Linked DNA regions of Canis lupus familiaris. The protein of the gene in region 2 purifies or fractionates together with the protein of the main gene of each other region. This does not show direct contact. Links are inferred from orthologs where the notes say so. Each region holds a gene or a part of one and is shown on either strand. Other genes may lie near its edges. The genes, in order: ITCH and LAPTM5.

Region 1 (4,369 bases), on a different chromosome or scaffold from region 2:
ATATTAAAATTTCATGGGGGAATAACTAGGGAAAATGTCTAAAAATGTTCCTTAGATGATAATTTTTAAAAAGGTTGAAAAACACTGCCCTACAGCAGTGATTCTCCAAGTGTGGTCTGTGGTTAATGCAAATTCTCAGGCCCCACCCCAGACCTACTGAATCAGAAATTCTAGGGGTGGGGTCCAGCAATCTATGGTTTAATGAATCCTTTTTTTTTTTTTTAAGATTTTATTTATTTATTCATGAGAGACAGAGAGACAGAGGCAGAGACACAGGCAGAGGGAGAAGCAGGCCTCACGCAGGGAGCCCAACATGGGACTGGATCCCACGTCTCCAGGATCAGGCCCTGGGTTGAAGGCGGCCCTAAACTGCTGAGCTGCTGAGCCACCCAGACTGCCCAGTTTAATGAATCCTTCAGGAGATTTTTTCTCTCTCTTTTTTAAAGATTATATTTATTTATTCATGAGAGACACACAGAGAGATGCAGAGACATAGCAGAGAGACAAACAGGATCCCTGTGGGGAGCCTAATGTGGAATTCCATCCCAAGACCCTGGGATCACAGCCTGAGCGAAAGGTAGATGCGCAACCACTAAGCCACTCAGGTGCTCTTCTTTAGGAGATTCTGATGGGCACTAAAGTTTGAGAACCACTGCCTTGGAGATTCTGAATGGGTTAGGATCCAGAAGTCTGCATCATTAATAAGCTCTCTTAAGTCATATTGCAGGAATGCAATTTGAGAATTGAGAATTGAGATTTGAACATACTTTGAAAAATGCAAGTGACTTTCCAGATGGTAAAATATGTTCATAAGGAGGAAACAGGCTAAACAATAATAGCTAAGGTCATTAATTAGGAAGCCCTTATCTGGGCCTCTGAATTTACTTGCACAGCCTATTAATTCTCACAAACAACCCATAAAGAAGAGGATGGACTCTGAAGTCAAACTGCCTGGGTTCCTATCCAGCTTGTGACTTGGTTTACCCATCTGTAAAGTGAGGATAATGGAGGTAGTTTCCTTATAGATTTGTTGTGAGGATTAAAGAAGCTTATTGATCAGCTCTTCCAATACCTGCCAGATTGGCACCACTTACATGTAGGCTATTCTCATCATCCTTAAGCGTACTTTGTTAAAAGGTGGATTTGAACCCCATCAATTTAACTCCCCAGCGTTACTTTCTTAAGGACTAAACTATAATCCAGTGTTTCTGAAAGTGTGATTCCCCCACCAGAAGCACAGCCGAGTTAGAAATGCAAATTACTAGATCTCATCCCAGATCTGCTGAAACGGAAACTCTGGGGGTGGGGCTCTCCTAAATGTCAACAAGCCCTTCAGGTGTTTCTGATGCACAATAGCTTTTGGGAACCACAGCTACAGTCTTTAGAGGTTCTGGGGAAGTGGGCATACTTTAAAAAAAAAAAAAAAAAAAAAAAAGCCTAGAGTGGCTGCGAGCAATCCCATAGTCCCTCCTACTAAGGGCGAGTAAACTCCGGTGTAGCTGCGCTGCCCAGCTCCGGCCAATTCTCCCGGTCAGCGCGCAAGGCTTTCTGGGGCTTGTAGTCCACATCCCTGCCGAGCAGGAGGCGCCTGCGCGTTGGCCGCCAACTCGCTCTAGTCGCTGTGGTCTGGGCTCGGGACCGGCTGCCATCTTAGTCGAGGGACTGAAGAGTCGCCGCCGCCCCGAGTCCCGGTAAACATTCGCGGGCGGACTGGGGGCGCTTCTGGGTAGGAGGGGGAGCCCGCAAGAGAGTGTCGGAGGAGAACCAGGGGTGAAGGAGTGCGGCGCGCGGGCAGAGGACCCTAGAGCCGCGACTGCTCTCTCCTCTCTCACAGCCGGTGCCCGTGGGGGGCGCGGGGAGCTCGGGCTAGTGGCCGAGGGGTGGGTTGGCCGGAGACGCCGAGGAGCCACTTTTTGACCGAGGCGTGGGGAGCCCCTCGCCTCGCGGGCGCCAAGTTGTGAGAGGGCTGGGCCGCGTTGGGCGCCAGCTGGGGCCGGCCCCGCGCCCCTCAGCCCCGCCCGGGGGCCACTCTCCCGCGGCCCGGCCTACGCGCGGGGCCCGGCGGCAGCGGCCGGAGCGGCCGACGTGGCCCTGTGAGGGGCGGCGGCCGGGCCCACCTGCCACTCGGCTGGCCTTCCCGAGACTTTTTGGAGCCCCCAGTCACGAGGCAGGCCCAGCGTAGCGGCTGCCTTCTCTTTCTTACACTCCCCTCCTCCCTCCATTGTCCCCCATCGTGGTGGTCCCGGCCCAGGCGCCCTTTTCCGCGCCTGCTGCCGCGGCCCCGCGGGCACCTCCCGGCGCCGAGTTTTGCAGACGTGGAGCTGTCACTGCCCTCCCTCTTGAGTGCCCTTTTCTTTGGCAGAGAAAAGAAAAAAAAGTAGTCGTGAACGTATTCTAAGGGTGAGAACGTGATGAGGACACGACTTAGTGGGGGAACTCAAGTTTTCAGACACAGTCTCGGGCCACGGCTTACAGAGAAACACAGGGTCTGTGCGCTCAAGGTGGACGTTGGGCCTAAAGTTAAAGATGTAACAAGGTGAACGTGCAAACTACCCGAAATTCACGATTCCCCAATAACAACTCAGCTTTTCTCGGTTATATGCGCATGTTAGTCTTGTTACATTTTCTGCCATAATTCTACAGCTTCAGTATACTTTTTTGGGAGTGAGGGTTGGGGAAGGAAAAGTGGGATTTTTTTGCCCTTTGGAAATTATTGAGGCACTGGAGCCAGTCACTTATCATTGCACTTAGTTGGGGGGTCTCCCGCATCTTTTCTTAATCGATTTTAGGGAAGTATGTAAAGGCAGCGGATACTAACCCTCAAAATCAGCTAAGGATTTCTCAGCTGAAATAAAGTTCTCATGGCAGCTATGCTGGAAGCCTGCACTATGTATTTATTCATAGATTTACTCGGGGTACAGTTATCAACAGAATGTAAGGTTTTTGGGTGTGAGTCCAGAAGGAATTCCTTCATGGTCAGTATATGAATCAAGTCAAAAAGGACATGAAATAAAAAATGAGTGCAGAATACGTTTTCACAGTATTCCAGAGGGAATCATTTCTGAATTCTAAAACAAAACAAAACAAAAACAAAAAACAAAAAACAAAAAAAACCCATCTGTTCGCCTATTGAAAAAGATAGACAAACCAGTAGTTCCTCAAATTGCACATTAGAATAGTTAGGGGAGCTTTTTAAAAGTAGAAATTCCAGGGTCTCCTTTTCTGACATCAATTTAGTAGGTCTGCTTTTGCCCTGAAGAATTTATTTTTAAAACATGCCTCAGGCAGCTCTCTTGGTTTTGGGAACCACTGAGGCAAACAATACTGTGAATCTACTGAGAAGCTTGAGACAGAATTGGCCAGTTCTGTCTGGGGTTTGGCTGTTGAAGGTGGCAGGACCTGCTCCTGTCCTAAGTTTGGCCTTAGATGATGAGTGGGAATGTGATAAGGATGGGGTAAGGGAAGGACAGTGCTGTATGTAAATGCAGAAGATAGTGGGAGAAAAAGGGTTCAGGGAACAGGGAGTGGGATGGGGAAGGAGAGCATTGTAGGATGTGAGGTCAGAAAGGTAAAAGGAGGTAACTGAAAAGTTATAATGCTAAAAACTGGAGTTTTATGTTAGTAGATTCAGAATTTAGACAGGGAAGTGATATGAGTGACGTGTGTTGTAGAAAAATGGCTCTGGTGATGAGAGTGAAAGGGTGGAAGAGTGGCTATTGCAGAGGTCTAGGTGAGAGGTGAAAGGACTTAATGTTGGAGAGAGGCTGTGGGGATGCTCAAGGGATTAGATTTAGTTCTTTACTAGTGCAATATTGTTGCCATATTTTTGGATGAGACTTTTTGGGGCCAGACTGGGTAAAAAGGCTCTTGTTCTGTAAAAAGAACCCATTAGCAAATCTGAACAATATTACCAGGTTATATATATTAATGGTATCAAAATATATTGTTCATTAGTACTTTTGGAAAATTAGAACTAAATTGGTTGCATTTGGAGGAGAACTTGGAGATTACACTGAAATTTATGACTTTCAACACTACTGATCTAAGCCTGTTGGAAGTGTTTTTCTCTTGTACTCAGGAACTTGGTATTAGAATTTTGGAAGAGATAATCTAGTCCACAGTGGCAAATATATTTTGGTTAATCAATTCTGCTTTGAAGTAGCTGCCAAAAGCACTGTATTGAGAAGGATTTTGGTCATATGTGCTCTCTGGGAAAGTAAGTTATGATTGATAAGTGCCTGATACTTCCTGTGGACACTGTCATCTCCTAGGTGATATATATGCCAGGTATATGCCATAATTAGACTAGTCCAACCTATTAGTTTTCTGTTTGCTTATAAAAAAAAAAATCCTAAGCAGTAAATAATTT
Region 2 (3,807 bases):
GTGTTATATAAGCCTGATGAATCACGGACTTCTACCTCTGAAACCAATAATACACTACATGTTAATTAGTTGAATTTAAATTAAAAAGTAAAATATATTTTTTAAAAGGCTCTATCTGAAGTGTTACATTATTTTGCAACGCTGATGTGTGGGAACAAGTCGTGTAGGCAACAAATGAGCCTGGGAATTACGCAGCCTGTCATTTCTGAATGTTTTTGTAGCTTCTTATGTATTGTGTGTGTGGTTACTCTGGTAAAATTATGCCATATTCGGGAAGGGAAGGATAATGACATACTGTAGTGGTATTAATGTGGAGATCCGCAAAAATCTGAGGACATATCTTTATAAAGACCAGGCTGCTTTGTCATCAATCAAGGGATATAGAGGACCTGAAGAAGTCGTCTGGTCCTCTTTACTTATATTGAGTAGTGCCCTAAAACTGTGCAGAGAAGCCGTGGGGCCATACTGAGATGTGTTGAGTGCCCCTCTCTCCAAGCATAAAAAACGAGTATTATTTCTGTGATGGAATTCACACAGCAGGGCTCCCTGTAGGATGGGGCAGGGCCACCCCTAAGGTCACACGTCTGCCCGGCTCCTTCCCTTTGTCCCGCCCCATGCTGTCCCCAGTCCTCCTCAAGTGTCTATCTGGGAGCTCTCCGGCAATCAATCATTAGCACAAGCATCCTCCTCCCGGGCTCCATCTCTAGGGAACCTAAGCATGGAGGCACAGACAAGGGACACAGCTCGCTCACGGCCACACAGCCAGTGATGGGGGCGGGCCCCTGGCCCAGACTCACCATGTGGTTCATGGCCTTGAAGTTGAGATAGGTGGGCACTTCCATGTAGGAGCTGCAGAGGGTCAGGATGCTCAGACAGAAATCCAGCAGCTGCAAGGTCATCAGTGGGACCTTGGAGGGACCCTTGGGGCGCAAAGGCAGGAGGAAGGAGACAAACCAGCAATGAAGCCCTAAGCTGGAGGTCCCGGTGCTGTTCGAGAGGCCATCAGCCAGAGACACCGGGGACTCTCCAGCCCACAGGACCCAGAAAGGAATGGATGCCCGCTTCTTGGACATTCCTGCCCTGGCTGGCAGGACCCGGCCTCTGCCCAGGGTCTCCCGATGCCCAGCCCGGGGCCAGCCACTCCCTAACTTCCAGGGCAACAGTTAGGGAGAGTCAGGGATTGGCAGCCCCGTCACTGGCATCCGCCCCGTGGATGCTCATTGTTGGCTTTAACCGACTGTATCTTCCTTCCTTCAATGTGGTGACAAAACAGGGACAAAGCAGAGGCTGGGGACTGAGGCGCACATGTCCCCTTCCCTGCGATGTAGTGCCCACAAGGCCCTGACCCACAGGGCCATCACTGGGCCCTCGGAGGGCAACCTTTCCTCACTTAATGCCCGTGGCCCACACGGGTGGCAGCCCTCGCAGGTGGATCTTACAGACAAAGGAACTTGAGGTGATTGGATGGGCTCGGGCTCATCAGCCCAGGAGGGCCCCGGGCGCTGCCACCGCACTAGCCTGAGCCCCTGCCCCCTGCCCAGGCTGGGCCGACTATGGGACGTGGGACGGGGCTGCGTACTCACCACCCGGCTGCTCCGGGAGGCAAACTTGAGGTAGGCGGGCAGCTCGATGTAGGAGCCCAGCAGGGTGAGCAGACACAGCAGGAAGTCCATGATTTGCAGAGACAGGAAGGGCAGCAGGTACTTCTCCCGGTTCTGGAAGACAGGCCCAGCACTGTCAGGCAGTCTGCCGGAGACTGATGCCCCGTGCGCCCCCCGCACTGGCAGCTCCTGTCCCTCCCGGGGTAACACGGCTCTCTCCCGTCACCCCCTCCTGCCTTAGCTTCAGGTGGACCCATGCACCTTCCTCTGACTGAGGTTCTGGGATGGGGAGGAGGTAAAACCCAGGCCTTGAGGGCCAGGCGTCTTGGTGTCCCAGGACACACGAGCAAGGGTCCCCATCTACAGAGATCCAGGGCCACCGGGAGCCGGCTCTGACCCTGCTTGCTCTGAAGAACCCCACCAGGAGGGGCTTTGTGTCCATTTTACATCAGAGAGGACTTCCTAGAGGTGGGGACCCTGAGGCTAGATCTGGTAAGAACCATGGGGGAAACGGGGAGCGCATTGGAGGCAGAAGGGCCAACATGAGCAAAGGTCCGATGGTGGCAGGGGAAGCCCACACTGCTGCGATGGTGGGACCCTCCTCTGTGGGGGCCACTCTTGGGGTGTGTGGTCATGGTCAGAGGCCCTGGGTGGCTGAGGCTGAAGTCCCTCTCCTTCAACTTAAAGCAAGTGACTACTGTGACCAATATGAGGGCACATGAACTCGCCACTGGGGACAAAATCACAGAAGGGGTGGTTTTGTGGTTTCTCATGTGGCTGTCTAAGATCACTCAGGAGGCAGCCAGAAGAGCCCAGACTCAATCTCAGGGCCTTCTGGACCACCCAGTCCACTTTTCTAGCTGGACCATGTGTGTCTCTGCACAATAATTCAGGACCCACCTGGCACAAGGTAAAGTCACTCCCTGGGGTACAGAGTTTCGAAAGGGTGCTGTTAGCTAAGGGAGTGATGAGGGGGGTGCAGGCAAGGTGAAGGTGTTCCAAAGCAGCCCCTGATCCTTCCTTGCACCAGTCTCCTGGCCAGTGATTGCCAGGCCACAGGCTCCCTGGAAGAGGCCACTCTTGCTGGGTCCTGCTTTGGTGGCTGTGCAGTGAGGCCCTGGCTTCCTGCCCCCTGGGGGATGAGGGACAGACCGGTTCCTCTTCGCAGAAGACTGAGCTACAGCCTCTCTCTCTCTCTCTCTCTCTCTCTCTCTCTCTCTCTCTCTCTCTCTCTCTCTCTCTCTCCCTCCCTCCTTTCCTCCCTCCCCAGCTAGCTGGGTGGAACTGAGCCACAAGAGTCTACCCGCCCCCCTGCTCTCTCTGCTCTGGTTCCTCTCACTGATTACAAAACCCACTGTTTTTTCACCTCCCCACACCTCAAAATGACCCTTCCTCTTTTCTCTACCAAAATTCCCTGCTTCTTGCATTTGCAGCTTCCAACCATGAAGGTTAGCAGCTAGTATGACCAAAGTATCTGTGTGCGTGCCCCCACCCTGGAGGGTGCGTGTCAGCGGGAGCCAGGGCCTCCAGCCCCAGAAGGCTGGTGTGGAAACGAGGCTTCCCATACTGTCCTCAAGCTTGAAGATCCCTGGGGCACAAGTGGGGTCTCCCAAAGCACCCACCTCCCACCCTCTTGTCAGTGCTGTTCACCCAGTGGGTGTGAATATGAAGGGGGCAGGAGGATAGCTGAGGGTCCCGGCCAGCCCCCAGAACCTCCCCGACCCCGACCAAGCCCTCACCTTGACCACTCCGATGAGCAGGCTCAAGCTGATGACAAAGAGCATGATGATGAGCAGGAAGCTGGAGATCAGGTTGGCTGCAAGGCAAGGGACAGTAGTGAGGGGCCCGGAGGTGCCCCCAGGACACCCATGCGGGTTCCAAGGACCACATTTTGGGAATCACTGGTGTGGAGGCCGTGACAGTGAGCAAGCCAGCCCAGACCCTGCCCTCCTGCAGTTCTCAGCCCTGGAGGACCACAGAGACAGCAAACACAACATTTCGGTAACCCGGCTGCAGGGTGAGAGGGTGGCCCCGGGCTGCTCTAGCCAGGGGGAGGCCAGCCTGTGAGCTGAGTGACCAGGAGCCCAGGCAGCTGAGCTTGCTGTGGTCAGCCCATCGGGAGCAGGGAGCTCGAGGGGGTGCTGGGACCCGCAGCCAGAGGTCGGCAGGGGCTGGATGCCACGGTGGGAGTTTCTGTTTTATTCCA

What was found.
Region 1: the proteins of LAPTM5 (region 2) and ITCH purify together in Homo sapiens (affinity purification with western blotting; 3 studies listed by BioGRID and IntAct, with this or other methods). This does not show direct contact. The link is inferred for Canis lupus familiaris from reciprocal best matches to the Homo sapiens genes LAPTM5 and ITCH.

The regions. Positions count from the first base shown.
Region 1 is NC_049245.1:23,988,583-23,992,951, forward strand, and holds the start of ITCH (E3 ubiquitin-protein ligase Itchy homolog), read left to right. Parts: upstream 1-1,567; 5' UTR 1,568-1,691; intron 1,692-4,369. UniProt on the Homo sapiens protein: Acts as an Acts as an E3 ubiquitin-protein ligase which accepts ubiquitin from an E2 ubiquitin-conjugating enzyme in the form of a thioester and then directly transfers the ubiquitin to targeted substrates.
Region 2 is NC_049223.1:69,597,696-69,601,502, reverse strand, and holds part of LAPTM5 (lysosomal-associated transmembrane protein 5), read right to left. Parts: intron 3,418-3,807; coding exon 3,341-3,417; intron 1,716-3,340; coding exon 1,584-1,715; intron 921-1,583; coding exon 798-920; intron 1-797. UniProt on the Homo sapiens protein: May have a special functional role during embryogenesis and in adult hematopoietic cells.